Linked DNA regions of Canis lupus familiaris. The protein of the gene in region 4 interacts with the protein of the main gene of each other region in a pairwise test. Links are inferred from orthologs where the notes say so. Each region holds a gene or a part of one and is shown on either strand. Other genes may lie near its edges. The genes, in order: ABHD16A, APOD, STX8, CREB3, MFSD5, AQP5 and SYNGR1.

What was found.
Region 1: the proteins of CREB3 (region 4) and ABHD16A interact in a two-hybrid assay, tested with the Homo sapiens proteins (2 studies listed by BioGRID and IntAct). The two-hybrid records come from large-scale screens. The link is inferred for Canis lupus familiaris from reciprocal best matches to the Homo sapiens genes CREB3 and ABHD16A.
Region 2: the proteins of CREB3 (region 4) and APOD interact in binary tests that used the Homo sapiens proteins (3 or more experiments, as listed by UniProt). The two-hybrid records come from large-scale screens. The link is inferred for Canis lupus familiaris from reciprocal best matches to the Homo sapiens genes CREB3 and APOD.
Region 3: the proteins of CREB3 (region 4) and STX8 interact in a two-hybrid assay, tested with the Homo sapiens proteins (3 studies listed by BioGRID and IntAct). The two-hybrid records come from large-scale screens. The link is inferred for Canis lupus familiaris from reciprocal best matches to the Homo sapiens genes CREB3 and STX8.
Region 5: the proteins of CREB3 (region 4) and MFSD5 interact in a two-hybrid assay, tested with the Homo sapiens proteins (2 studies listed by BioGRID and IntAct). The two-hybrid records come from large-scale screens. The link is inferred for Canis lupus familiaris from reciprocal best matches to the Homo sapiens genes CREB3 and SLC61A1.
Region 6: the proteins of CREB3 (region 4) and AQP5 interact in a two-hybrid assay, tested with the Homo sapiens proteins (2 studies listed by BioGRID and IntAct). The two-hybrid records come from large-scale screens. The link is inferred for Canis lupus familiaris from reciprocal best matches to the Homo sapiens genes CREB3 and AQP5.
Region 7: the proteins of CREB3 (region 4) and SYNGR1 interact in binary tests that used the Homo sapiens proteins (3 or more experiments, as listed by UniProt). The two-hybrid records come from large-scale screens. The link is inferred for Canis lupus familiaris from reciprocal best matches to the Homo sapiens genes CREB3 and SYNGR1.

The regions. Positions count from the first base shown.
Region 1 is NC_049233.1:1,319,044-1,323,124, forward strand, and holds the start of ABHD16A (phosphatidylserine lipase ABHD16A), read right to left. Parts: upstream 2,801-4,081; 5' UTR 2,725-2,800; coding exon 2,593-2,724; intron 2,486-2,592; exon of another isoform or gene 2,213-2,485; coding exon of another isoform or gene 2,195-2,212; intron 1,602-2,194; coding exon 1,545-1,601; intron 795-1,544; coding exon 728-794; intron 495-727; coding exon 408-494; intron 1-407. UniProt on the Homo sapiens protein: Phosphatidylserine (PS) lipase that mediates the hydrolysis of phosphatidylserine to generate lysophosphatidylserine (LPS). LPS constitutes a class of signaling lipids that regulates immunological and neurological processes.
Region 2 is NC_049254.1:31,201,636-31,205,135, reverse strand, and holds part of APOD (apolipoprotein D), read right to left. Parts: intron 1,860-3,500; exon of another isoform or gene 1,775-1,859; intron 1,696-1,774; coding exon 1,574-1,695; intron 1-1,573. UniProt on the Homo sapiens protein: APOD occurs in the macromolecular complex with lecithin-cholesterol acyltransferase. It is probably involved in the transport and binding of bilin. Appears to be able to transport a variety of ligands in a number of different contexts.
Region 3 is NC_049226.1:34,293,742-34,297,241, forward strand, and holds part of STX8 (syntaxin-8), read right to left. Parts: intron 1,210-3,500; coding exon 1,110-1,209; intron 1-1,109. UniProt on the Homo sapiens protein: Vesicle trafficking protein that functions in the early secretory pathway, possibly by mediating retrograde transport from cis-Golgi membranes to the ER.
Region 4 is NC_049232.1:52,553,935-52,558,043, reverse strand, and holds the start of CREB3 (cyclic AMP-responsive element-binding protein 3), read right to left. Parts: upstream 2,801-4,109; 5' UTR 2,405-2,800; coding exon 2,312-2,404; intron 2,207-2,311; coding exon 2,059-2,206; intron 1,970-2,058; coding exon 1,902-1,969; intron 1,788-1,901; coding exon 1,698-1,787; intron 1-1,697. UniProt on the Homo sapiens protein: Endoplasmic reticulum (ER)-bound sequence-specific transcription factor that directly binds DNA and activates transcription. Plays a role in the unfolded protein response (UPR), promoting cell survival versus ER stress-induced apoptotic cell death.
Region 5 is NC_049248.1:44,704,709-44,708,996, reverse strand, and holds MFSD5 (molybdate-anion transporter), read right to left. Parts: upstream 2,801-4,288; 5' UTR 2,761-2,800; coding exon of another isoform or gene 2,225-2,760; intron 2,088-2,224; 5' UTR 2,070-2,087; coding exon 717-2,069; 3' UTR 472-716; downstream 1-471. Other genes in the region: translation initiation factor IF-2-like, read right to left, coding at 2,225-2,760, 2,892-3,137. UniProt on the Homo sapiens protein: Mediates high-affinity intracellular uptake of the rare oligo-element molybdenum.
Region 6 is NC_049248.1:41,910,841-41,915,107, reverse strand, and holds the start of AQP5 (aquaporin-5), read right to left. Parts: upstream 2,801-4,267; 5' UTR 2,676-2,800; coding exon 2,313-2,675; intron 1,271-2,312; coding exon 1,106-1,270; intron 689-1,105; coding exon 605-688; intron 1-604. UniProt on the Homo sapiens protein: Aquaporins form homotetrameric transmembrane channels, with each monomer independently mediating water transport across the plasma membrane along its osmotic gradient. Plays an important role in fluid secretion in salivary glands.
Region 7 is NC_049231.1:26,671,115-26,675,326, forward strand, and holds the start of SYNGR1 (synaptogyrin-1), read right to left. Parts: upstream 2,801-4,212; 5' UTR 2,744-2,800; coding exon 2,576-2,743; intron 1-2,575. UniProt on the Homo sapiens protein: May play a role in regulated exocytosis. Modulates the localization of synaptophysin/SYP into synaptic-like microvesicles and may therefore play a role in synaptic-like microvesicle formation and/or maturation.

The DNA.
Region 1 (4,081 bases), on a different chromosome or scaffold from region 4:
TCTGCTCCTTGCATTCAACCTTACAGTTGTGAGACCCGTTCTTGCTGCTGAGCGTAGTTTAAATTCGCTCACTTGCATGCTGTGTTGTGTTGTGTTGCACAACTAGACCTCTAACATATCCATCCTATTTGTGGCCATGGACTTGTTTCCAGTTTCAGATTATGACAAACATCTACATGGACATGTATGGAATTATTGTAGGGTATATGCATCTTCTTCAGATAACAGCAGTTTTCTGCCAATGAGTGTTTTTTTCATACTTACAACCAAGCCCTTTAAGGAAAAGATCACGTCTTCACCATTCCCAATTATTCCCTTTCAGGGCCCAAACCATATATTTGCAAAATTACTTAATAAATATTTACCCCGGGAAATATAGATCCAAGCCAGGCTCCCTCTGGACCTACCTCGGAGACAGGCCACGCCTGCCAAGAGTAGTAGCAATGTCCCCGCATAGTGAGAAAATGGCACCACTTTGGACAAGCTCAAGTAACCTGGGAGGGGAGAGGCATTATGTGAGAAATTTCCCCACTGCCCCTTGGCATCTCTTCCCAGGTCAGGCCCAATTTCCGCCCCATATTCTCTCTTTGGGACATCCATGCCCTTGGAGGAAGAAGACGCCTGATGGAAGAGGAAAGCCAAGCCATGTCCGTAGGTCCCCTTTCCTCTTTGGAGAGGTTGGCTCATCTGCCAACAACCTGCCCACCACCTTTGAAGCCACACTGACCTTTCCTGTATAAGTAGAAGAAGGCGAAGGGAGAGGAGTAATAAGAGATGGACCAGAAGACTGAAGCCTGCAGCAGAGAGACAGGGACAAGCAATCAGTACACATGCACACACATGCACATATGTGCACACATGTACACGCACGCACCCACACACAAGTCTGCCATTTCCAGGCCTAGGCTCTGAGCAAAGTGGAGGACCTGAGGGAGATCAATCACATCAAGTACCTATTCTGTGGATGACACAGTAGGTGCTTAATATCTGTTGAAAGGCAATGTATCAGAGCAGAAAGGAGGCTGGGGAAATTAGGTACAGGTTCTGTTTTCTTCCTCTTATCTCCAGACATAATCTCATCGCTTTTAAAGGCCAGTTTCTTTTTCTACTCAAGTCAATCAAACCTTTCCAATCAGCCCTGCTCAGCACAGCGCCTGGCCTGGTCTCCAAGAGATGCACAAACGTCACCATAGGAACCCTGCCAGAGAAAACAGCTGTCTTTGCAGCCAAGGAGGTTAGTTGCCTGTAGCCAGGGAGGACAGGTCACTGGGGACCACAGGACTCAGCACTTGCAGATGGTCCCAAGGGGAAACGCATTCTCCTCAGGGCTCAGGCTGCCCCAGAGAAAGCAGTGCACACACCAAGGTGGAGTGCCAAGTATGGGTGCTTGAGAGTGGGTCCATGTGGTTGGAGAGGTTGGCAGCAGAGGCTGGAGCATTCCCCACCCCAGGGGCGCTGCCTTCTCCCATGCTAGGGAGGAGAAAGTTCCGAGGGCAACTGGGTGGGAAAAGACACAGTAGTCCCAGATGCGAGGGCAGACATACCAGTGCCAGGATGCTGTCAGCATGCTTCTCCAAGGCACGGGGTTGATAGTACGTATCCTGCCAAAACAGATGGCGGAGTCAAGGACCATGTCCACTGACCAGTCCTTCGCCTTCCCTTTTGAAAGCCCTGACGTTGTGTCCTCTGGTTCTAGCCTCTGAAGCTGTCCCTCCTGCGACATTCCTGGCTCCCAAAGAAATCCCTCTTACTAACCCCTCCTCCAAGCCTGATTTCCTACCCCAGACCATGAAAACATAGGAGGCCGGACTTGGGAGCAAAATTGAAAGCCTCACCGAAGGATTTGTGTTCCTTTTTCACAACCCAGTTTCAAATGGGCCGTGGGCAGGTGCAAACGGGGAGAGGAGTGAGAGAAGAAAGGAAAGACACAATGACAACTTTAAGAGGGAAATAAGATCAGAAATAACAGGGTGATTAAGGAAGAGAATGTGGCAGAGGGCGGGCCGTCCCGGGGCGCAATAAACAGCTTGAGACTACCCGTGAAAAGGCAGAGCGCCTACAGGGACACAGCCGCCCACCACCCCAGCTTTCCTTTTTTTTTTTTTTTTTTTTTTTTTTCACCCCAGCTTTCCTAATGTGACCACCCTGGGGTCTCCAAGGCTGGCTGGGCGGCGGGGTGGGAGGCCGCGCGTACGTGACTTGTCGAAGCCATCTAACTTCACGGACAGTGTGGAAGGCAGATAAAACGGAACTGGGGAAGGCACCGAGTCAGAAGAAATCACCCAGCTCTGGAATTGGCGCAGGGTCTCAGGCAATTGGGAGTAGCACGAACCACGACAGACGGGGTGGGGGCCGCGAGAGGGAAAGGCGAGGAGCGCTAGTGGGAACCGGAAAGCGGTGGCGAAGAGCGACAGAGGAGGCCGGCGATCCGCGGGCGTGACTTTAACCCAGGAGGCGCAGGGAGCGCTCCGCAGACACCTGGCTCGACAAGCAGGCTCCCCCGATTTCCAATAATGGGCGCTTCCGGGGAGCAGAGGCCGCGAAGGGGACTGGGCCGTACCATGTTTCCGACCCGGGGAGAACTCGACTCACCCAGGAGCTGGAAGGGGGGGCAGTGACTGAAGTTGGAGTCTCGGGGACGCCGGACGGGGCCCTTTCCGAGTCCCTCTCCCGGTAGATTTTGTAGAGCCGGGGGCCTAGGACGCAGCTCAGCAGCTTCGCCATGGCCCCCGCTCCCGCCGCTGCTCTCCCAGCAGCAAGTCCCCCTTCCGACCCCGCCCTTCCCCGGCCTCGAAGGTATTGCGTGCCCTTGACGTCAGCACGTACCGGCTCCGCCTCGAGCCCTGTAGAGACATTTTCCGCGCTGCTTGAGACGGATTTCGCGCAGTTGGACCTACGGGTAGAGCCGTGGTCAGAAATTAGTTGGAGGCGTTTGGAACGCGCCGAGGTAGGGGATTATCAGGATTAAGTCACTTTTTCCCATCCCTTAATATTGGCAGGCTCTTGAACGACAATGGGAACGAGGGATAAGATGCAACACAAAGAAAAGGTGTCTAGGAACACATCTAACCAAAGAAATGCACGATTTTATGAAGAAAATTACAGAAGTTTTTGAAAGAGGTGACCAAAGGCTTGAATAAATATAGAGCTACATCGCAGTCATGGATAGGAGGACTAAGTATTATCAGGGTGTGTAAAATACCGGTTAAAAAAAAAAGAAAAAAAAAGGAGGAATTCTTGCTCCTAAGCGTAGACAAATCTCAAATGTATTGTTTAGTGGGAAAAATAAAGCCACAGATTGATTACACGCAACCATCACGATACATATGCATCTGTATAACATTTGAAAAGAAAATTTAATGATCAAGTGAAAGTTGAAGAGCAAATTTAGAATAGTGTAACACAGCATAGAGGATCTTTGAAATGGTAATACTTTTTAAAAGATTTTATTTATTTATTCATGAAAGACACAGAGAGAGAGAGGCAGAGACACAGGCAGAGGGAGAAGCAGGCTCCATGCAGGGCCCGACGTGGGACTCAATGCCGGGACTCCAGGATCATGCCCTGGGCCAAAGGCAGATGCTCAACCACTGAGCCATCAAGGATCCCAGTAACACATTTAATAGATATTCAGGTTTGGTTTATTTTCCTTTGTACCTTACACCTACATGATATATAAATTCTTTCGCTTCTTATTGCAGTAAACACATATACAGAAAAGTGCACCTTTTGAATATATCCATGTAGTCAGCATCCAGATCAAGAATACATTATACCACATCTACAAGACCCTCCCCAAATCACTACCTCCCCCGCCAAGGGGTAACCACTATCTTAGTTTCTAACCTCATAGATTAGATTTGACTAATTTTGTACTTTATGTAAATGGAATCATGCAAATGATGCCCTTTGTTTCTTGCTTCTTTTACTCATTATGTTACATTCGATACAGTCCTTGGTATGCATGGAATATTTCATCAAAAACCATTTAGAGGGCTGCCCAGGTGGCTTGGCGGTTTAGCGTCGTGTCAGCCCAGGGCCTGATCCTGGAGACCTGGGATGGAGTCCCATGTCGGGCTCC
Region 2 (3,500 bases), on a different chromosome or scaffold from region 4:
GGCCGTGTCTGACCCTCGTCGCAGACCAGGACAACTCCTGGGGCGCAGCCTCGATGCGCCTGCACCCGGGCCCGGTCGCCGTGCCCGGGCTCTGAGATGAGCCGGTTTTCTCTCTCTCTAGGCCGCTAAGATGTGACTTCGCTTCCCGGATTCCTGCAGGGCCAGGGGCCACCCCCGGTCGGGCACAGGAAGCCTGGTGGGGACCAGGACGGCCGCAAAGCCTCCCGGAGCCGCAGGGCCTTCCAGGCTGCGCCGTGGCGGTTTCCTTGGAGCCGACACAGTTCCCAGATCCCGCAGGGGACAGGAGGGACGGCCCTGGTCCCAGCCCTCTCTCCCGGCGGCTGTTGTCTTCCACGTTCCCCTGCTCTCTGGGCTTGAACGTCGGCCTCGTTGCTTATAAGCGGTGCGGCCATCGGGCGAGTTCCCTTCCCTCCCTGTACCTCTGTTTCTTCATCTAGAAAAGTGGCCTTACTAAGAGTACCTGCCTCAGGGCCCGGAGGCGCATGCTCGTTTACATACACATCCACCCAGGTGCACGCGTGCACATACACGTACACTCACAGAATAGCGCCTTGCACGCAGGAAATGCTTAATATTTGCCACTATTGTTTACTGTTGCTCTTATCTTTTTTTTTTTAAGATTTTATTTATTTATTCATGAGAGACCCAGAGAGAGAGAGAGAGAGAGAGAGAGAGGCAGAGACCCAGGCAGAGGGAGAAGCAGGCTCCCTGCAGGGAGCCCTACTCGGGACTCGATCCCGGGACCCTGGGGTCACGCCCTGGGCTGAAGGCAGCTGCTTAACCACGGAGGCCCCAGGCATCCCTGCTCTTATCTTTGTTGATGGAAGGTAGGTAGGAGGTCTTCCTGGGGCATTTTTAAAGTTTATGTTTGCTTTCTAAAGTATGAATTTTTCTATCGAAATAGAACTCGGTTAGAAGCTCTCGGAAACAGAAAAGCATACTTCTAAAGGCTATCCTGTTCACGAACCCTAGAGTGTGGCTATGAATGTATTTGATTCTTGCTTAATGAGAACAGGCGTCTTCTAGTCGTCACGGCTGAATGAATTGCCATGAGCAACCAGTTCCTGGGAGGGTTCAAGCCGAGCTGGATGCCCTCTGTCAGTCGATGAGGTAGAAAGAGCTTCTCTCTTGGTTTGGAGATCAGATCAGATCAAAGTCTCACTTGCCCTTTGCTACCAGCGTGTCTGTTTTGCAAGGAGAGCAGGAACCCTGCAGTTTGGATTCCCGTTGAGTCCCCAGTACCTTTTACAGGGGCACACACACAACAGGCCCAGAATAAGTGTAAGTGCTCGCCGGGAACACACAATACAGTAAGTACACAATACAGTAAGATGCCCAGCAAGAGGTCTTGCAAATAAGCGAGTGGCCTCTAGTCCCCACCATCCTGCCTGCCAAAAGCCTTCATCTCAGGACCTGCTGCGAGTAGTCAGTGCAGACGCAGCCACGTCTGCCTCCCCGCTGAGCTAGGCCGCAAGGACACCCAGTCACCCGGGGACAGCTCTCTGCAGGCTGGCTCTGGGACCGTGTTGCTTTTGAAACCGCAGCCACTCACCTCAACTCCTGGTTTATCACTTTGATGTTTCCGTTTTCCATTAGCGAATAGTTGGCTTGGATGCAACTTCCCTTCTCAAAGCTCACTGGGATCTTCTCAATTTCGTACCATCGTCCAAGATACTGCAGAGATAACAATAAGCAGAGAAAACCCTGTGGCTCTCTGGGGACCTGCTAACTCTTCCCTATTGTCGTCTTTTAGAGCAGAGCCCTTTCCTGGGGAAACCACGCAAAATGGGCTGCACTGTTCCCGACAGCAACTGAGCAAGATATTGATTCAAATGAGAGTAAGTGAGTCAGATTTGCAGGCATTGGTCGAATGCCACATTTTATTCCTAAAGTGACCTTTATTTAGATATGATGTCAGTGGGCCCTCCAGCCAGAATCTATGTGAAATTTTAGGCTCTGTAAAGGAGAGGGAGCGGTCCAGATGATGTAAGGTTCCATCTCAAATATTTTGTGATTCTACGAGGCATCTTTGAATTGTGTGCAAAGCCAGATATGGTCACTCTGGGGAACTGGGACTCCAGAGTTGGTTGATTCTCCTCATAAGACCCCGGACAGGGAGTTGGTCACAAAGGCTTTTAGCAAGTGATCAGGATTCAGAAGATTGATATTCTTTCACTGGGGACTTGGTCTCCGTTCATAGCTTCGTGTACAGAGTCAACATTAAAGGAAGTGTGCAATGGTGTGGGTGACGGTAAGGAGAGACAAGTACTTTCATGCTTCCATGCACTGCCTTGCATGGAGACTGCTCCAATTTACAACCTGCATGGGGGGCAATCTGACAATATCTAGCAAAGAAAATACATCTAGTGCATTTATGAGGTTATTTGATGCAGTGCTATTTGTAAGAACAAAAGACAGGAAATTAGAGTCTAAGTGAGCATTCGTAGGGGACTGGGTACATAAATGTGTATGGCACAACCAAACAACCGAATGTTATATAGCCTCCTTTAAAGGAGTCATGCAACTATATCCAAGATGCATTCAATGGAAAAAAAGAGCTGGGTAAAAAATAAGAGTATATGGAAAATGGGGGGAAAGGTTATTATGTTCATTTTCTATTGCTGCTATAACAAATTCCACAAGCTTACAACACAAATTTATGGTCTCATGGGTGTGTACATCAAGTGAGCTTGATTAAAATCAAGGTGTTGGCAGGACTGTGTTCCTTTCTAGGGGGTTTAGGGGACTCTGTCTTCTTGCCCTGTCCACATTTTATTTTATTTTATTTTATTTTATTAATTTTTATTTATTTATGATAGTCACAGAGAGAGAGAGAGGCAGAGACACAGGCAGAGGGAGAAGCAGGCTCCATGCACCGGGAGCCCGACGTGGGATTCGATCCCGGGTCTCCAGGATCGCGCTCTGGGCCAAAGGCAGGCGCCAAACCGCTGCGCCACCCAGGGATCCCCCTGTCCACATTTTAGAGGCCACCCACATTCTTTGGCTGGTTGAACCCCTTCCTCCATCTTCAGAGCCAGCAAAAGTGGGTGAAATCCTTCTCACATTGTATCTCTCTTTCTCTTGTTCCATCATCACACCTCTCTGACCACAGCTGGGGAAAGTTCTCTGCTTTCAATAATTAGACTGAGCCCACTGGGTAATCCACGCTCTCTGGCCATCTCCAAGTCTATAACTTTATTCACATCAGCAAAATCCTCCTTTTCGTGGAAAGTAGCATATTCGCAGGTTCCAGGGATCAGGGTGTGGACATCATTCTGCCTACTGCACTTATGTATGTATTTGTGTACGTATACACTATCTCCCAAATGATACACAATAAACTGTTTTTAACTGGTTGCTCCTAGGGAGGGAACCAGGGGTAGGTTCAATGACAAAGAACTTGTCATTGAATGTTCTTTGGCACCTTTAGAATTTGGACCCATGTGAATATATTTACTTAGTCAATATATTAATTGGAA
Region 3 (3,500 bases), on a different chromosome or scaffold from region 4:
CACAACAGAATACACATACACAATGGAATATTATTCAGCCATAAAAAGAATTAAATCTTGCTATGTGCAGCAACATAAATGGAGCTAAAGAGTTTAATGCTAAGTAAGATAAGTCAGAGAAAGACAAATACCACATGATTTTACTCTTATGTGGAATTAAGAAATAAACCAACAAAGGGAAAACAAAGAAACAAAGGGGAAAACAGAGAGAGAGACAAACCAAGAAATAGACTCTTAACCATAGAGCATAAACTGGTGGTTACCACGTTGGGGGGGGGGGGGAGGCGGATAAGTATGGGGGTTAAAGATTGCAAAAAAAAAAAAAAGAATATAAACAGATGCTAAGGATAGCATAAAAAAGGAAAACAAAAAAGGAATCCATTCTAATAACTTTAGAACAGAATAACCTCAGTATTATTAGTGGGATACTAGTTCTTAAAAAAAATAAGACAAATTCAGACTTAGTGATTGTGGTGGCACCTGCGCAGTAATTCTGAAACTGTTTTCTGTAAACTATATGGTAGATCAAATGAACAAAAAGATATCACTGTTTTTGGAAACCAAAGTTCTGACTGCTGGAAAGGAAAAATATGAATTTGAGTGGGGAAGTTTAGAAAGAAACTTGTGTCCTGGACTCAAATCAAAGGTGCTAGTATGAACTCCTGAGTGTCTAAAAAATAGATTTCCTAGCTAAATCCTGCCACTGTTTTTGTACAGCCTGCAAACTATTTACATTTTTCCATGTAAAATGTAAAAAAAAAGGCCACGATCCTTTTGGCAAGAACAGTTACTCCAAGAGGTGAAGATGTCACCTCTTGTTCTGCAAAGTCTGGAAGATTTACTGTCTAGGGTTTGACCCAGACTATGAAATTGTTAGAAACTTTGGTTATGGAGGAGAAATTAAACAGGTGTCATGCTTCACTTAGTCTCAGTTATAACGATTAACTGATTGGTTGTAATATCAATTCCACACATGTAAGTTTGGAGTCCATTTTATACATATACATACACACACACACACACACACACACAGCCTCAGCAGTAGGAGGGTTTTCAGACCTCAGAGCTCAAACAAATCATTTCAGGTACTAATTTTCCCCTGGTCTTACCCTGATTGTATTTTCACCATTTCTTTCATACTGATTTTGCTGTTGGATTTTCTCGGCAATCTCTTGTGCAATTTGGCAGGTAGAGTCGTATGTGGAGAACCTGCATTAAAGTCGTAAAGGGAAAAGAATGTTTAAGGTTCTTTGAAAGAAGATTTCTGTGTCATCTGAGCTTTGTTTTTTTTTAATTTATTTTAATTAATTTTTTTTTGAGCTTCTGTTTTTAATTCTAGCCACAAATTCAAACAGGAAGGAAGGGTAGTAATAGTTAACAGTCATAGGGACATGTGTTGCTATTATGGTAAATATTATGAGCAGGGATCTATTCTGAATGCTTCATTTTTAATTCACTTAATCCACAAAAAAAATGCCAGGAGGCAGGTACCATTACCACCCCCACCTGTAAGGAAATATCAGGTACAAAGAGGTACAGAGACCTGCCCAAGTGATACCCCCAGCAGCAAGCCAAGGCTGCCCAGCCCTGAGTTTGGGCTCCTACCCACTTCACCATTCTGCAGATGGTAACATGTTTGAATTCACTGACTTAAAGACACCATTCTGCAGATGGTAACATGTTTGAATTCACTGACTTAAAGAATGTTCGGTGAATGTTTACGGAGGGCCTCCTCTGTACCGAGTATTGTTCCAGGCCCTGGAGAGCAGAGCAGTGAACGACATGGACAACGTCCCTGCTCTAGGAGCTTAGCAAAGGGAGAAAGGCATAAAATAAATAAATATGTAGTATGTCAAGTGCTGGTATGTGTGAAGAAGAAAAATAAAGCAGGATTAAAGAGCAGAGAGTGACAGGCAAGGTGAGGAAGCCAGCCAGGCAGCTATCTTGGGAAGAGCTTTACATGTAAAACAAGAACAGCAAGTACTGTTTATCCTACAACGAAATGCTCTGGAGACACAGGACACACACCCTCCTGACATCTAAGCTTATGAGAATTCTCTCAAAACATTTGCTGGGTTTCTGTTTAGTACTCAAAGTGTTGGAGGCTTTGAAAAATTCACAGTGAGTTCCCAGTCACCCCTTCGTGGGTCCGTTTGTAACAGCCTTTCTATTTTCTATTTGTTTTACAGAGAAGAGCTAAGTGCACCTATACGTTGTGTTTCATCTACCAGGTGGTCAGTTCGATACAATCAACATATTTTCCCAGTACAAAATATTGAAAACTGCTGTTTTACCCAATGTCCCAAGTTTTGCTTGAGAAGGTAAACAATCCATTCCTTAAAATCTTTGAACTCCCACTCACTACTCATATACCTAAGGAACTTAGCAAATGTGTTTTTCAGTGATGAAAAAGAACAATCTTCAGTCACTTCTCTTACCAATCTTACTATAGTGATTACAGCAATAGTAGTATAGTGATTGAGTACGGATCTGGGCCAGTTCTGGCTAAGAGTGTTACATTCTGAACTTCACATCCCATGAGGTAGGATCATTAACTACTTCCCACTACACACTAAAGTGGCATCGTGCATATGTATACATGTGTAGTGTGCGTATGTTCACAAAGAAGAGCAGGTGATACAATACATAATTAAGGAAACAGGAGGGAAGGGGCACCTGGGTGGCTCAGTCAATTGAGCATCTGACTCTTGATTTGGGCTCAGGTCATATCTCAGGGTCATGAGATCAAACCCAGCATAGGGCTCTGTGCTGAGTATGCAGTCTGCTTGAGATTGTCTCCCTCCCTCTCTCTCTGCCTCTCCCCCCAAAAAGAAAAAAAAAAAAAAAAAGATAACAGGAAGGAAGTTGGTAAGGAAACTGGGTCCTAGCCCCAGCTTTGCCACATTCCCCTTTTTCCCCTCCATACTGTCCTCTCTGAAAAGAGGAACTTAGGTCTGGCTCTGTGCTCCTAGACCATACTTGTGGAAATCACTAATGATGTATGCTATAGCTCCTACCAACTGTGGAACATAACTGGTAAGTCCTTCTGGAGTGTGGAAATGAGAGAAATCACTGGCGGCCGAGGCACTCAGATTTGACAGGACTAGGCCAAGAGATTATATTCTGGGCTGAACTGCAAGATTGAGAGGCAGGAGGGAGAGGCACATTCTGGACTGGGCCAAAGACACAAGAAACAAGCAAAGGTGAAAGGAAGGAAACAGGCCTGGCACATTGGGCTGAGTGGCCCTAGGTAGGAGGATACAGTATCACAGGGTCACAGATGCGGGGAAGCTAGTTTCTGCAGAGACTCGAACACCAGGATCATCGGGTGAGACTTGACAAGAGGGCTTTAGAGATGTAGGGGAGTGAGCCCTTGAAGAGGTCCTGTGAAATGCAGGTCAAAATCCCAGACGTTCTGTTCCCAATCCTCACATTCTCACGTTAGCCCTGGACAAGCGGAGGTTCTAGAAATGTGCTACCCACTGGAATCATTGAGGAAT
Region 4 (4,109 bases):
ATAAATAAATAAAATCTTTAAAAATAAAAACAAAACAAAAAATCTTGGGGCACCTGGGTGGCTCAGTTGGTTAGGAGTCTGACTCCTGATTTGACTTCAGCTCAGGTCATGATCTCAGGATCATGGGATGGAGTGCCGCGTTGGGCTTTGTGATTAACAGGGAGTCCACTTGAGATTTTCATTCTCTCTCCCTTGCTTTCTGCCCCACCCTGCTGCTTGCATGCACAAGCACAATCTCTCTTTAAAATAAGGAAACCGGGATCCCTAGGTGGCGCAGCGGTTTGGCGCCTGCCTTTGGCCCAGGGCGCAATCCTGGAGACCTGGGATTGAATCCCACATCGGGCTCCCGGTGCATGGAGCCTGATTCTTCCTCTGCCTCTGTCTTTGCCCCTCTCTCTCTCTCTCTCTCTGTGACTATCATAAATAAATAAAAATAAAAAAAAAAAGATTTAAAATAAATAAACCTTTAAAAAAAAATCTTTAAATTTTCCTTATCCTAAGCTAACCGACATCTGCCTCTATGATTTCTATCAATTGAACTTACCTGGTACCTATCTCTGAGACCATATAGAATGAAGGTTTTTTTTTTGTTTTTTTTTTTAAGATCTTATTACTTATTCATGAGAGACACACACACAGAGAGAGAGAGGCAGAGACACAGGCAGTGAGAGAAGCAGGCTCCACGCAGGGAGCCTGCTGTGGGTCTCGATCCCGGGTCTGCAGGATCACGCTCTGGGCTGAAGGCAGGTGCTAAACTGCTGAGCCACCCAGGGATCCCAGAATGAACAGTCTTTAATTTAAGCCATTTAACATTTCTTCAGAGTTAAAAGATCTGGGCAAAAATTTTAACTTCTCGGGATGCCTGGGTGGCTCAGCAGGTTAGTACCTCCCTTCAGCCCAGGGCACGATCCTGGAGTCCCAGGATCAAGTCCCATATCGGGCTCCCTGCATAGAGCCTGCTTCTCCCGCTGCCTGTGTCTCTGCCTCTCTCTGTGTGTCTCTCATGAATAAATAAGTAAAATCTTAAAAAAAAAAAAATTAACTTCTCACCTCTCTTCGGGATGGACTGCATCCTCTTAATATCTGTCAAAGATCTGGGTTCAAAACTAGACACTAAGATGTGCTCTGGCCAGTATAATGGAGAAGAAGATGGTCACTGCCCTTCTAGAGGCAACACCTCTACTGATACAGCCTTCAAACCCCACTCTCTGTCATCTCAAACTAACCCATCTTGTACTTTTAAGAAAATTCTCTCAACCTTCCTGTAGTGTTGGTTTCACAACAGTACCACAATACTGTGCTTGTGAAGCTGCTATTCATTGCCTGAAACTTAAAACTTGGGATTTTACAATTATTCTTGCTATATTACTTAGTCCAGCCTTGATGAACTCTAACCATTTAGCTACAGGTGGATTACCATGAGTTTGCTTGCACAGTCCCTTCCAAGACCCTACACTAATGTTGCATCGATGATTTTGAATTCTTCTCAAAGAAAACACCAAAACTTGTATGAGCCCCACAAAACCAGGATCTGCCTCTGCATCCACCATATTAACATCATGCTCCAGCTTCCTATTACCAACAAATTTGCCAAGTTTTCTAACCTCAGTCCTTCCTGACATAAAGTTAACAGAAGTGCACACTTGGGATCCACAACACATCCCTCCAGCCTTCACTCCCACCAATGGGAGTCTTACCTTAGTAAGAGGAAGCGTCCCATGCAGAGTAAGCCCCTCCTTCTCCAACAGCCTCTTCTCTTCATCTGTCAGTATCAGCCTAGCAATCTCCTGGGATTAGTTACCAGGAGGTGGGCAGCAGAGTTGCAAGGGGATGACAGAAAGGAATGGGGAATCCGCCCCCACCCGCGCAATGTGGGAATGATCCCGCCATAAATCAAGTACCTGCTCTGCGGGCTCCTCCACTTGCAGTGGGGTCGTCTGGGCCTCTTCTTTTCCATAGCTCCCACCATCTGCAAAACGAAAAGTATAAATAGCCAGACCCACGAAGCCTCTCCTCCCCTCAAACCTCACTTTCTTCCTCATCATATTTCAGACTCACCTAGATCTATGGAAACATGCTGTTGTGAGAGAGAGTAGGTGTGATCATGGTGCACGAGACAGGAATCAGAGGAGCTAAGGACGTTCAACGATGCTGGGGGACTCAGCATGGAACTCAGGAAATCCTCTGCCTCCCATTCACTCAACGCCTGCACAGGGTTCAAATAAACAAGCCTTGACCTATCAACTACCCACCACCCCATGAACGCTCTCCCGGGATCCCCGCGCCTCCCCGGCTCGCAGCCCCCACCCACCTCGGAAAGCGGCGGCCCGGCCCCCAAATCGCCGCTTTCCTCTAGCAGGAAATCCAGCAGGTCCTGGTCACCCAAGTCCAACGCCAGCTCCATACCGGATAACAACCGGAAAGATGTACAGAGAGACCTATCCGCAAGCCCGGACCTGTCGCTCTGAAATTGCACCAGCCCCCAAGACCCGATTCTCCGCAACTTCCAACACCACGGAAGTGACGCGCACACCCCCGAGGCACCACGGGATTTGGAGTTCCCTCCGACGCGGAAGTGGCCTAGCCGCGGCGCGCCACGTCCCGGGAGCTCTGCAAATAGAGGGGACGTCCCTGCGGCCTCCTCACACCCTGAGGGCGGGCAATCTGGGAGGCCGCCTCCGCCTCGGCCCCAGGCTGAAAAAAAAGGAAGGGTTAGAGACCAAAGGGGAACTCGCGCGCAGTTCGGGCGTCTTCCCGGATTGCGCCGCACCCTTGTTTCCTGCCGGGGGAGCCGGCCGGGGGGCGGGGGGGGGCGCCTTTTTAAGGCCGGCTCCCGAGCATCGAGAGCTGGGGCCAGAGCAGCTTCCTGTTGCCCCCACAACCATAGAGCGCGGGCCCAGGGCGCCGCCCGCGGGTGGGGGACGTTCCGGGGACGGAAGTGGCCGAGAGAGTGTCGAAGGGAGGGCGAGGCCGAAGCCCGATTACCACCGGGAGAGCGAGCGGGTTATCGGGCCGGCGGGCGGGGCACGAGCCGGGCAGCGCAGGTAGGCCGGACCGGGCCGAGCCGGAGCCTCAGGGTGGGGCCGCACGGCCAGGACCGGGAAGCGAGCGCGAGCGCGGGTGGCAGCGCGGGTGGCAGGGCGGGCGGGGCCCTTGCGTCCGCTGTTTCGGGTCCTGTTGGAGAGGTCAGCGTCCAGTGTATCTCGGCTTGGGATCGGAAGTTAAGTAGGTCGTTTTAAGGGAGCCAAGCCTTTCCTGGGATCAAGTCCTCTCTGTCTGGAATAAGTTTTGGGGAGGGTGAGGAGTTGGGTGACAGTGAGGCGCAGGGCGGGGATCGGCTTTGAGGTTAGCTGATAGTGAGTATGCGGGTAGGAAAGCTGGGGGTGAGTTTGGGAATTAGGTAGAGTTGGGTTTAGGAATTAAAGGTTAGCTTACGGAGTTAAAAACCGGAGTTGACATTTAGAGTTACCAGTGTGAGTCGGGTCCGTTTTATGTAGGTAGAGTTTGGATTAGGTCATTATTCTGTTTCTGGCCAACGTAAGTCAAAGTTAGGGTTCAGGGCCGGTTTAAGGGTCAACACAGGATTTAAATTAGAAGTCCAGTTTTTTAGGGATTAGAGAACATTAGCATGGAACTAGGGATAAATCGCGAAGGGATGGATCAGAAGTCAAGTGAGACAACAGTTTTAGGCTTAGAGATCAACATTTAGAGTTAAGGTCAGGAAATTCATTCCTAGAGGTAAAAAGTAGATCAATATTAGGGATCAAGGATTGGGGACGGGTGTCTGCCAGGAAAGGGATGAATGTCAAAGCCAGTGTTGGGAAACAGGAACCAAATTAGGGTCAGGGTTAATATTAGGGATTAGGGTTAGTTTTATGGGGGTTATGGCTGAGGTTAGGGTAGCTGACCTTGGATATATTGAATTTAAGAGATTGGCAGTAGGTAGGTGCTCTCGTTTTGCAGGGAGGTCTCATTCCTACGTAGTTTCAGGGGTTCTCTAGCCCAGAGATAGGATAAACTCATTTCAGGTTAGGGATCTGGGCTTCAACTAGAATTGCAGGTATCTGGGATTCTAGCTTCTTTATTTCTGTTCTCTAAATCCAGTGTTC
Region 5 (4,288 bases), on a different chromosome or scaffold from region 4:
AGGACCTGGTGGGAGCACGTGGTGCGGGACAAACAGTCCCTTCTGCCACAGAGACAGAAGGCAGGTAGCATATGTGTGCTGAGGTGCAAGCTTGTTTCTGCAGGAAGGTTTCAGATTTGCCCCAAGGGGTGGTCACAGAGGCAACTCAAGCCCCTGGAATCTCTGTTCACACCACCTGCTCCAGAGACTGTCTCACCCTGATTGTGGAGCAAGGGTCTTGCTGGGCAACTGGAGAGGGTACCTGTCCCCAGGGCAACAAGATATAGAAGACCCAGGAGCCTCAGGCAGTCCCCACCCATTTCAGCAAAGGGGCAATGCCACAGCTCTCGGTTTAAACTGGAGACAGTCTTGGAGACTAGAACTACAAATGCCTTTTGCTAATAAGCCCACCTTCAGCCTCAAACTCTCCGGCTGCCCACACACCAGAAACTACTGAGGTGGGTGCAGGTGAGGATGAGCAAATCCAATCAATGACCAGTTAAAAGTGTTTATTTTTAAATGGAAAGGGGAGAGGGAGTAACACAGAGGCAACTTGTGGCATCTTCTTTCCAGGCCATCACCCCCATGTACTCTCCAACCCAAAGCACTGGCAGGAGGGGCCCCAGGACAGGCTGAGGCCCAGACAGTTGCAAAGTCTGTCACGGAGAGATCTGTATACCACCCCGGAGAGGTGGGATTCGAGAGTCCTTCCCAGTCCCCCTTGTCCTGGAACCGGGCTAGAGCTCAGGGGCATAGGGCTCCCCGGTGGGTGAGGGTACCCGCAGCTCAGCATTGTGCCTGACCACGGTGAAGAGTCCCACCACTGCCAGCAGAGCCATCACCATGACGGCAGAGCAGATGCTGAACATGTTCCGAGTGCCCGTTTTGTGATCACTGTCATGGAGAACTAGGAGCCCCAGGCAGGCCAGCAAGTGCAGGGGCACCCGGAACCAGTTGAGTACACCAGCTTGCTCTGTCTCGGGGATCACCTTTCTCCGCAGGAAGCTCATGCTGGGAAAGTACAGCCCACAGGCCAATTCGATAAGGAGAAAGGCTATGAAGGACTCCACTGGACTCTCCTGGCCTGGGCTGGTGGAGAAAGTCAACATGAAAAGGGAGAAGACAACGATGAGGACAGCAAGGGAGAGTAGGTGCATGGGCTGAAGGTGGTACCTCTTGGAGGTAGCAATGCGGTACAGCGAAGAGCCAAGCAGGCTGGCTGCCATGAAGCTGGAGAAGACAATGCCCAGCGGAGCCCCATGTGGGTCCAGCACAGGCGTCCAGAGGAAGACAAAAATGAAGATGACGCTCTCAAACAGGGCTTGTATGGTGCCTAGCAGCAGCACGCGGCGGTCCGACAGGAGGCAGCGCAGGCCTCCAGCACAAGTCCTTGAGAAGGCACGCTGCCGATCATAGTTCTCTCCCCAGTTATGAAGGGCCAAGGCCCCAGCCAGAGCCAAGAGAGGGATGGCAGCCACAAAGGGCGCCACGGGCCCCAGCCCCATCCAGCAGGCCACCGCTTCAGCTGCCACACCTGCCGCTACAGCCAGCACATGGTTCCAGAAGGCAGCTCGGGCAAAGGTAGCTGGGATCCACTCAGCAGGGAAGTCATGACGCTCCACGTGTTCATGGACGTACCAGGCCTCGAAGGCGGAGAAGAGCAGCGCTGTGGACAGCCCTCCGAGGGCTCGGCCCATCAGCAGCACAAAGTAATCCCAAGAGAGTTTCGTTAGGCAGCAGAGAGAGTAAGTGAGGGAGAAGAGGACACAGGACTTCTTGCGACCCAGCCAATCCACAAGGGAGGAGGCCACCAGTCCAAAAAGGACTGTGGAGGCAAGGCCACAGACATAGAGGATGGCAATCTGCCCCTCCAGGAAGTGGTAATGCTGATAGAGTTTGTAGAGGTAGGGGGCCTGGAGCCAGTCAGCCGCCAGGGCCAGGAAGTAGACCTGATAGAAGTCCAGTTGAAACCGGAGGAAGGAGGGGTTGCTGCAGGCCCTTCCAGGGGGCTTAGCCCGGCATCTTGACAGCTCCAACCCCAGGCAGGAGGCCAGGAGGACCACAAAAGCAAGATAGGCAGTCACCAGCATGGCGGGCCCCCGGACGACCTAGGTAGGGGAGGAAGGGGGGGTGGGAGTTACATCCATTGCCCGGGCAGCACTGCCAAGGGGCGGGTGTCCACGCAGAAGCAGCTGCACCCACCCCCCACCCGACCCCACCCCCGCCACCTGCACTTCCCCGCCGCTCAGCTCCACTCCCCCGGAGCTCGGACCGGAGGGACCAGTTGGGTGGGTGGGAGGAGCGGCCCGCCAGGCCGGGTCTCCCGGGACACTGCGGGGCAGGGCGGGGCGAGGGGAGAAGGAGCATCCGCCCCACCCTCGCCCGGCGCAGCAAAGAGGGGGTCCCCTCGACACGGCGACGGCGGCCGCGCGGGTGGAGGGGCTGCTGCCCTCGCCCAGCTCGGCCTCCGCAGGCGCGTCACCCCCACGCTCTCCGGGCCGCTGCACTGGGCCCCCGAGCGTCCCGCCCGCGCCGGCCTCCAGGGCCGCTCCAGGGTCCCGCGCGCGCACCCCGGGCCCGGGCCCCCCCGCCGCGCCCCCGAGCCCCAGCCCGGCGCCCCCGCGCCGCCACGCCTGCTCGCGCCTCGCCCCAACCGCGGCTCACCTGCTGCCCCGGGCTGCGGGGACGCCGCGGACGCGTCCGGCTCCAGGCCGCCCCGCCGCCCAGCCCGCTCGACGTCCGGCTCCGGCTCGGGCTCGGGTTCCAGCAGCGCGCCCGCCCCTCACAGCCCGCTTCCGGGAGCCGGGGAGGCCTCTGGCCGCCGCCATGATGGCCCCGTCACGTGACGGGGTGAGGCGCCCAGGCCCCGCCCCCGGCCCGCCCAGGCCCCGCCCCCGCGCTCCAGGCCCCGCCCCCGGCTCCCGGAGGCCGCCGAGCAGGGCGGTGGCGGCGGCGGCAGCTGGCCCTCCCCGCGGCCTTCCCGTGACAGCCGCTCCTCCGACTCCCGGGTACCTGCGGCGCCGCCTCCACATAAAGACCCACTTCCTCTCTCTCCTCCGTCGCAGGGCAGTGCCGCAGTCCTGCCGACGCGCGGGCTGCCCTCCGCGGGCCGGTCCCGCGGTAGCGCCCTGGGCCCCGACGTGGTGCGGCGCAGACACCTGAGGGAGGCGGTGTGGGTCAAGGGCCTGGGGACTGGGGACGCAGCCGGCCGAGGCCCCAACCCCAGATCCGTCACTTAGTGTCCCAATTTCTTTGCCTGCTGTCAGGGGGGAGCAGTGCCCGAGGAAAAAGGGCGAAGGGTCAGCCCACCTCTCGCCCCTTACCAGCCGTGCTCCCCTGGAAAGGTTCTTTCCCTTGTGCTCCAGATTTAAGAGTGGCTCGACGGCTTCTCACCTCACTGAGCATGGAAGCCCAGGCCTTCGTGATGACCTAGAAACCCTCTGTGTCGGGTTCCTCTGCCACTTCTCTGACTTTATCTACAATTCTCCCTCCAGACTCTTTTTTTTTTTTTTAAAGATTTATTTATTTATTCATGAGAGACACAGACTGAGAGAGAGGCAGAGACACAGGCAGAGGGAGAAGCAGGCTCCATGCAGGGAGCCCAACATGGGACCCAATCCTGGATCCCGGGATCATGGCCTGAGCCAAAGGCAGGCGCCCAACCACTGAGCAACCCAGGCATCCCTCTCTCCAGACTCTTCCTACTCCATCTGTATTGGGGACCTCCAGGGCCTTTGCACACTGTGCCCTGCAAGGTTCTTCTCCCAAAGACCCACATGATTCCCTCCTTCAGCCCCTCGGGTTTCCTGTTCCAAGGCTGCCTTATCAGAGAGGCCTTCCCGGGCCATCCTGTTGAAAACAGCAACACGGCCACCTCCACTAGAGATCTACCTGCTGTCCTTCCAGCCTCATTCCCCTTTGCTGTCTTTTCTCCATAGCACTTAACACCATCTGGCACATTATGTATTTTATTTATTTATTATCTCTTCTCCCTAAAGGTTTTTATCTATTTGTTCACTTGTGTTTCCAGTACTTAAAACAGTTACTGGGGTGGGGAGTGGGGTCTGGGGAGGCACCTTGCTGGCTCAGTCAGAAAAGCATTTGCCTCTTGGTCTTGGGGGTGGGGTGGAAGTGGGAGTTCTAACCCCATGTTGGGTGTAGACATCACTAAAAAAAAGAAATGAAGTTGAAGAAAAAACCCCAACAGTTATTGGTAAGTAAAAAGCATTCAATAAACATTTGATGAAGAAATGAATAAATTAATCTAGATAAATTAGTCTAAAAAGTGCTGGCCCCTATTAGCTGGTAA
Region 6 (4,267 bases), on a different chromosome or scaffold from region 4:
GGAGACAGATCCCCAGGAGGACGGGGCCCCCCAACCTCACTCTAAAGAGAGACAAGTGACCCTTTGAAGGAGACATGTAGATTCCCGGGGAGACCACAGAACTCCTCTCCCTCCCACACAGGGAACGAAACAGACCCTGGAGAGGGAACATGAGCTCTCAGCAGAGGTGACAGATAGACTGTGCAGAGGGACAGGCCCACAAGAAGGAAGACTCCCTGAACCCCCTGGGCAGGAACAGATATATAAAACATCAGAGAGGACAGACACTCAGACACACTGCCCCCGGTCGCCCCACCCCAGAAGGACAGACGCAAAATCCTCAGACATCTACACAGAGGAACCGATCTCCTTCCCTTCCTTAGAGGTACAGCTACCCAGGGTTGCCCCGCCCCACCCCAGCCCTAAACCAGGGTCCTCTGCCATTTAACTCCCCCTGTCCTTGTTCTGGCTGCGTCCCATCCCTGTCTGTATCTCGATCTCTCTCCAGCCACGCCTCTCAAGGCCACCCCGAGCTCCGGGCCCACAGCATCCAGAAGATCCAGGGAGCTCTTGGCCAGGTTTCCAGGCCCTCATTGCCAGGGAGCCAGGGGGGGCCCAGACTCACCCAGTGAGCAGAGCTGAAGCGCTTCATGACCACTGCGGGGCCGAAAGAGCGGGCCGGGTTCATGGAGCAGCCGGTGAAGTAGATCTGGGCAGAGAGAGGGAGGCGGCAGTGAGGAGGGCAACATGCCTGTCGGCTCCTAAAGGCCTGGTCTTTCCCAGAGCCACCCAGAAGTTCAGTGGCTCAGCCAGGTCTCTGAATCTAGTCTCCCAATTGCTAGGCTGGTGAGCTCTCCCTCTACTGGTCCCCATGGACCCCTCTTTCTTCTCCAGTCCTGTGCTCGGGCTGGATTTCCTGCCTCCCCACCTCCCCCAACTCACACTTCCTGCCATATTTCCTCAGACTAGAGAAGATTTGGGGGGATCCAGCCTGGGACAGAGTATAGCAACCCCGCTCCAGGCCTTAACTGCTAGGTTCCCTGGTTCAGAGGGGTGCTGCTCTAGAGCCCCATTACTTGCCCTGGGGGGCTCCCCACAGCTGCAACCAAGTGGCAGCATTGCTCACCCCCACGAGGTGGCCCAGTGTGACGGAAAGGCCGATGGACAGGGCCGGAGAGCCCACAGGACTGGTGCGGCGGGAGTCGGTGGAAGAGAAGATGCAGAGTGCCAGCTGGAAGGTCAGAATCAGCTCTACTACCATAGCCTGGCCCTGGGTTGTGTTGTTGTTGAGCTGCAAGGGGAGGGTGGGTTAGGACCCCTGCCTTCTGGCTCTATGGCCAGGGGCTCGGGGGATGAGGCTTTTGGCCTCCAGGGACACCTAGAGCCACTGTCCCTGGAAGCCAAGCCTTGCGCACGTCAGAGAGGTCATTTGCTGAAAAGACTACCTACCTGACCCTGTGCACAAAGCTTGGAGCCCAGGCCGGTCGGTGGCCAAGGAGCTGAGTGTGAGGGGAGCTTTTCCTGGACAAGGTCCTGTCAACGGTTCTGCCCAGTTCCAACCCCCACAAGCTGGCATTTACCCTCCCTCCTGTGGGCAGCTGCCCAGTTTGCCTACTGCACCCCCAGCCTGCCTCCCGCCCGTGTCTGACCCGCTGCCAGTGCCAACCTCAAACCCGTCTCTCCGGTGGGGCTGACTCACGGCTTGACAATGGCCGAGAAAATCCTCCTCTGTGTTTGATTAATGAACCCAGTTTACATGGGACATGGGGACTGAATATGGGACCGTGAAAGGGGGTGAGAGCAGGGGACCAGGAGTGGGAACGCGTATTCAACAGACCCTACACACTGGCACCGCACACACGGTTTCTAGATGTAACCCCCTTGACACCTGTTGCGGTAGGTGATGACCACCGCGGTGTAGCAGCTGAGAACGGTGGGGCCCAGAGGGGCGAGGGGGGCCCAAAGCCGGGATTACAACCCACCCCTGACGGCTCCGCGAAACCACTCCAGTGCGGCGCAGACAGCAGCAGCGAGGGTCCCAAGCGCAGGGCAGAAGCCAGACAGCAGAAAGCCAGAAGTCTCGGGCAGAGAGAGGAGAGGCAGCCGGCTCCAGGAGGGAGGCCAGAGGAGCAGCAGGAGGGCGGCAGGGGAGGACGTGGGTCCGAACCAGGGAGGCCGAGCCCGGGCACCCCGGGCACCCCGGGCACCGTCCAGCCCGGAGCTCGGCCCCGCCACCTGCCAGGCGGGCCTGCTCCCACGCCCCAGATGTTGTCTGGGGCCGGCCGGGAGCCCACCCCAGGGCGCCCCCGCCCAGCCGGCCCGGGGGCACTCACCGAGTTGACGGCCAGGTTGCCGCGGGCGTTGAGCGGCGCCAGCCCGTAGAGGATGCCCGCCCCGGCGATGGCCCCCGCCAGCTGCGCCGCCACGTAGAAGGCGGCCCGCAGCAGCGAGATCTGGTTGCCCACCAGCAGGGCCAGCGTGATGGCCGGGTTGATGTGGCCGCCGCTCACGGGCCCCAGGGCCTGCGCCAGGGTGCCGATGGCCAGCCCGAAGGCCAGCGAGATCTGCAGGATGCTGGGCAGCGCCGACGGCCACTTGAGGGCCGAGCCGAGGCCGAAGAAGACGAAGATGAGGGTGGCCAGGAACTCGGCGAACACGGCCTTGAGGAAGGCCACGGAGCACACCTCCTTCTTCATGGTGGCCGCGAGGGCGCGGCGGCGGGGCGCGGGGGGCGCGGGGGCGCGGGGCGCGCGGGGCGCGGGGGGCGCGGGGGGCGCGGGGGGCTGGCTGCGGGGCGCGGGGCCCGGGGCGTGCTGGCGGGCGGCCTGGCGCGGGCCGGGCGGGGGCGCGCTATATAGAGGCCGGGCGCCCCGCGGGGGGGCGAGCGCGGGGGGGCAGGGGGCGGCCCCGGCGGCCGGCAGCCTCTCGCCGCGGCCCGGGGCCCCGCGCGCCCCCGGCCCCCCCGCGCCCGCCCCCCCGCCGGGGCCGCCGCGGACGCGCCCGGGCCACGTGACCCAGGCGGCGGCGGTGTAGACGGGCCGGGCGCCCGCGGACCCGCGCATGGTGCGCGCCGCTCGGCTCCCGCGCTCCGGGCCGCGTCCCTGGACGACTCCGCGGCCGCGGCCTCGAGCGTGCTGCGGCTCCGGCGCCTACCTCCGCGGGCCCAGTGCCTGCGTCCCCGCCCTTCCCCCGGCCTCGCCGGGCTCTGGGGCCGGCTCCTCCCTTCCCTCCCGCGGCCCGGGCATCCCGACCCGGCCTCACCGCCCGCGGGGCTGGAGCCGTGCGACTCTCCGAGGCCCGCGCCGCTCCGCTCCCTGCCCGGCGGGGGCGGGGGCGGGGCGGGGGCGTCCCGGGCGAGCGGCCGGCGGAGCCCGCAGCCCCGAGGCGCCCTCTCCCGGCGCCCGAGCCCCGCGGCCTCCCAGCGAGCCCCCGACGGGGTGCGGGGCGGGACGCGAGGGGGCGCGACCGACTTCACTTTTGGTTTGGGTCGGGGGAGCCCCGGGAGTCGGGGTGGCGGTGCGCTGCGGGGACGGGACGGCGCGGGCGCCCCGCTGACCTCCCGGCCTCCGAGGCCCCCTACTCTGGTCCCCCCCCCCCTCCTTTAACTCCCGCAGCTCACCTCCTCCACTCTCCTTCGTCTTCCCTTCCCTCAAACTCTCAGTCTTTTTTTTTTTTTTTTTTTAAGATTTTATTTTTAAGTCATCTCTACACTCAGTGTGGGGCTCCAGCCCACAGCCCCGAGATGAAGCGCCGCATGCGGGGGCGCCTGGGTGACTCAGTCCCGCGAGTGTCTGCCCTCCTCTCAGGTCATGATCCCAGGGCCCTTGGGACCCAGGCCCGCGTCCCGCTCTGCTCAGGAGCGATTCTGCTTCTCCCTCTCCGTCCGCCCCTCTGCCTGCTTGTGTGCTTTTGCTCGTTCTCTCTCTCTCTCCCTCAAATAAATAAAAAATCTTGGGGAAAAGCAAAGTCGCATGCTCTACCTCCTGAGGCACCCAGGCACCCCAGGCCTGGAAGACTCCTGGAAGCAGACCCCTGGCTGAGCGTGGGTCCCCCACACGTGGGTCCCCCCCGGGACCCCGGGATCATGACCTGAGCCAAAGGCAGATGCTCAACAACTGAGCCCCCCAGGTGCCCTCTACCTCGGCTTCCATGGCCCATCTCTCTTACGTGTAGTCTTTTCTAGTCCTTCCAGCCCTGGACTGGGTGATGCTCTCTTCCCGCTCCCATCCTCCTCCTCCTGTTCCCATCCCTTCCCTCTGAACTCCAGGCTGCTCTCCTCTGGCTCTCC
Region 7 (4,212 bases), on a different chromosome or scaffold from region 4:
ACTTTGTTAGCTTGAAGGTGAAGCCTGATGCCTCCCTGACCCCAAGGTGGGGTGCCCAGGGAGCACCAGAGCAAAGGATGGGTCATCAAGTGCATCTTCCACATGCTCATCAGCGTGTTAAAACATGTTAAAACATGTTAGCTCACTACATATTTTTGAAAAAGACTCGAAGGAAGCACTGCGCCTCCCTAAGTGGTGGGATCACACATGGTTTCTTTTTCCTGAATGTTTTTATTGTGTTAAAAATCATATGACATAAAATGTACCATTTTAGTCATTTTTAGCTGTACGGTGGTATAAGTACGGTACCTTTATGTTGTTGTGCGACCATCAGAAGTGATGTTTATATTTTCCAAAAGTCATCACGCATTACTTTTGTGACCAGAAAAAAAAAAACTATGTTTTGAAGGTGTCAATCAGCCTGTATCAGCAGATTTAGTAAAGCTTCATCAAGCTTTCCTCACACAAAGGTAAAGTCAGCAGAGCTAGAAGGCTGTGGGGGGATTTGGGTGTTAGATGGTGGTTGGCCCGGATGACCTTTATCCTTTCCAATCCTGGATTTCAGGATTGGGAGCAATCGATGTGCTTTTTGGAGACTCCAAGATTTGGGTTCGAACCCTCTGTCTGTCGCCTCCATGCTTGTAACCTCAGGACCCTCTGAGCCTGCTTCTTCAAGGGATGCAGTGGGGGACCTAGCTAGGTAACCGTGTGTGCACCCCTGCACATGGTGGGTACTCCAGCAGTTAGTTTCCTTCCTTCTGCTTGGGATGTCTCCCCACACCCTGACATGCACATGCAGAAACCCTGCTCATGCTTCAAGGCCCAATTTGATTATCACCTCCACGATGCCTCTCTGATTCCTGCAGCAGGGAGACCCCTAGGCTGGTTCTCATGGCCTGGGGAGACCCCTAGGCTGGCTCTCATGCCTGAGGGAGGCGGGGGGGGGGGGGCGGGGGGTGAACCTGGCTCCCTTCCCAGTGGGACTATAGGATCCCTGAGCACTAACGGCTGGATCTGAGTCATGCCGCCTTCCCTAGGGGCCCAGTGGACTTGAAGCTTTACTAAATGAAGCCATCACAGGCAGAAGCGACCCAAGCAGGCAAACTGCCCACACCTCCTCACAAAGCCAGTGGCTTCATCCTCCTGGGCCAGTGGCCCAGGGGCTGGCAAAGGGAAGCAGAGCACAGAGCTGGCCCACCTAACCAGACAGGTGCCCCCCAGAGTTCCAGCTCTACCAAGGGCCAGTCGGGGTCTCTGGGGAGCTGGAGACTGGCACAGGTGAATGAATTCAGTGCCACAAAACCTTATGGATGTGCCTGGGGTAGCAGCCCGCTGCCAGGCCCTGTGGTGCCACTGGGGCTTCCCCCCTCAATGAGCTCCCCATCTGATGGGTACGTGAGAAGAAAGGGGTTTACATGAGGCCATGCTTCTTGTAGCACCAGGAGGAGGTTTTAACGTTTTCAAAGGACAGTTAGCTTCCATTCTCTCTGGGAGGCCAGAGATAAACACCCAAGCTGTCCCACCCATCAGACCCTAATATTACCCTGAAAACCCAGGAAATGAGGGACCTTGAGCACCCTGAGGCTAAGCTGGCCTCAGGTGTAGCCCCTTGGGGTTGCTGACAGTGACCCTGCCCAGTGTCCCCAGTCCAAACCCTTCTGGTGTGGGCCCACAGGAACAGGCCCCAGGCCTGCAGAGCCGAGACCCTCTAGTGAGGGTGTCTGGGTAATGGCTAGGAAACCCGAGGGAGCCCCAGGCACCCCCTCCCGCAGCAGGCCTTCTTCCCCTGGGTGCTGTCCAGACCATCTGAACCCCTCCCTCTCTGCTGGCAGTCCTGTCCCAGCTTCCTCCCCCACAACCCCAATTCTGAGCAGGGACCCCCTACTGCTGGGGGAATTCTGACCCCCACCAGGCCTCTCTGCTCTTCCCTGTGGGTAGAGGACCTCTCCCCTATCTTCCCCCCACAAGCATCCAGGTGTACTTGGGGGGGGGCGCGGTCATGGCTTGGGGGTAAATATCAGAGCCCAAGGTAGCTCCTCCCACCTCTCAACAAATCGGGAAACTGAGGCATGAGAGAGGAGCTGCCTCTCCCCACCTCGGGACGTAACTCTTCTTCCCGCAGGAACGTTTCTCGGGTGGTTCCCGGCCCAAGGTCACGCAGCTCCCGGGTGGAAGCCAGGTGTCCGGCCCCCGCCGCATCGCTCCGTACCTTCCGGGCTAAGCCACCAAACCGGGTTTCCGGCCGTCTCCTCCTCGCGCGTCCACGGCGGGCGCGGCGTGCCCCGGTGAGGATCCACGCCCCGATCCACCCGCCCCCCCAAGGGCCACCTGGACCCCGGGCTCAGTCCCCACGGCCGCCGACCCGCCCGGCGGCACCGCGCAACCCGAGCCGCCAGCTGCAGAGCCGCGGCCTGGAGGTCACCGCGATGGGGGGCCGCTCGCGAACCCGGGCGCCGAGCCCGCCCCCGCCCCCGCCCCCGCCCCCGCCCCGGCCCCGGCCCCGGCCCCGGCCCCGGCAGGAGGGCGCGGCGGCCGCCCGCACCCCGTCCGCAAGGCTCCCCGCCGGCTGCCGCACCTTGGCCTGGGGTCCGCCCGGGCGCGCCACACGCCACCGCCCGCGCGGCCGGGCCACCGCCGTCCTTACCCAAGACACGACGCGCAGGATGGTGTGCGGCTGGCGGACCAGGGTGTGGGGGTCGAAGGCGCCCCCGGCCTTGCCCGCTCCGTACGCACCCCCTTCCATCGTGGCTGCACCCGCGCGGTGCCCCCAGCTCGGCGCGCCGCCGGCCCTGCGCGTGCGCGGCGCCCCCGCCCCCTCCCCGCCTCGCGCGGCCGGCGTCGCCCAGGGCCCCCGCCAGGGGGCGTCGTGCGCGGGGGGCGCGGGGCCGCGGGCGGGGGGCGCGCGCTGGTTCGCGGGGGCGCGCGTGCTGGGGCCGGGCGGGGGGCGCGCTCGTCGCTAGCGCCGCGACCTCCGCGGAGCCGGGGGCGGGGTGGGGAGGGGCGCGCCCCAAATAGCGGCGTCCCAGCCCCTCGGTGCGTACCGCTGGGTGCCCCCCAGCGTAGCAGCGGGGGCCTCGTTTGTCTTCCCGCGCAGCATGCAGATTTCTCGACTGAATGAATGACCGAGAATGAATAACCCCCCAAAGCGCAGCCCCCACCTCCCCAGGACCTTTCCACCTGGCTTTTAGGCTGACATCACACGGGCGCCTGTGTCTGCGCACCCCCATCCCCAGCCTGGAGGGCCCGAGACACCTGGCACAGAGGCGGAGGCTGAGGAAGGGCAGCAGATTTTTTATTGGACGTATGGACCCCCCCCCATCCTTTTCCTTAATTCACTAATTATGTATTTATTTGTTCATTGTTTTCTTCTGCTCTTCGGTGGGTTCTGTCTCGTTCCCTGTTGGAGCCAATGGTCTGGCACACAGTAGGTTCTCAAGAAGTAGACCCTAGTCCCCAGAACCACATCACAATTTGGGCTAGGCCTCCAGGGGTCATGGGAGCAGACCGGCTAGAGGAGGGCTGGTTACACCCTCTGGGTCTGGCTCTTCCCATGACCTGTAGTCCTAACCGCCTCTCTCGGTGGTCCAGGGACCTTCCTTGGTTCCAGGATCGGGTTGGAGAAGGATGTGTTTTGCTGCTGTCTTGTCATTCTCTGATGAAAGGACATAGGTCTGTGCAGAGGAAGTGTGTGGTGGGTGTGAGGCACTTCTTCCAAGTATCACCTAGGCAAACGTCCATCTTAGGCTCTGTGTACTGAGGGTCAGTTCTGGGCCAGGCCCTGTGCTCCCATTTGATACAGCAACCTCATGACGTAGCTGCTATGATTGTATAAAACTTCTAGAAGAAAACATGAGAGAAATTTGTGTGATTTGGGGTTGGGCAAAGAGTTCTTAGGTATAATGTGGAGCATGATCCATAAGAGAAAACAATTAATCAATTGAGCTTCATCAAAATTTAGAACTGCTTGGGGGATCCCTGGGTGGCTCAGTGGTTTAGCGCCTGCCTTCAGCCCAGGGGGTGTGATCCTGGAGTCCCAGGATCGAGTCCCGCATCTTGCTCCCTGGATGGGGCCTGCTCCTACCTCTGCCTGTGTGTCTGCGCCTCTCTCTCTGTCTCTCATGAATAAATAAATAAAATATTTTTAAAAAAAATTAAGAACTGCTCTTCAAAAGTCACTGTTACAAAAATGAATGAAGGCAAACTACGATCTGG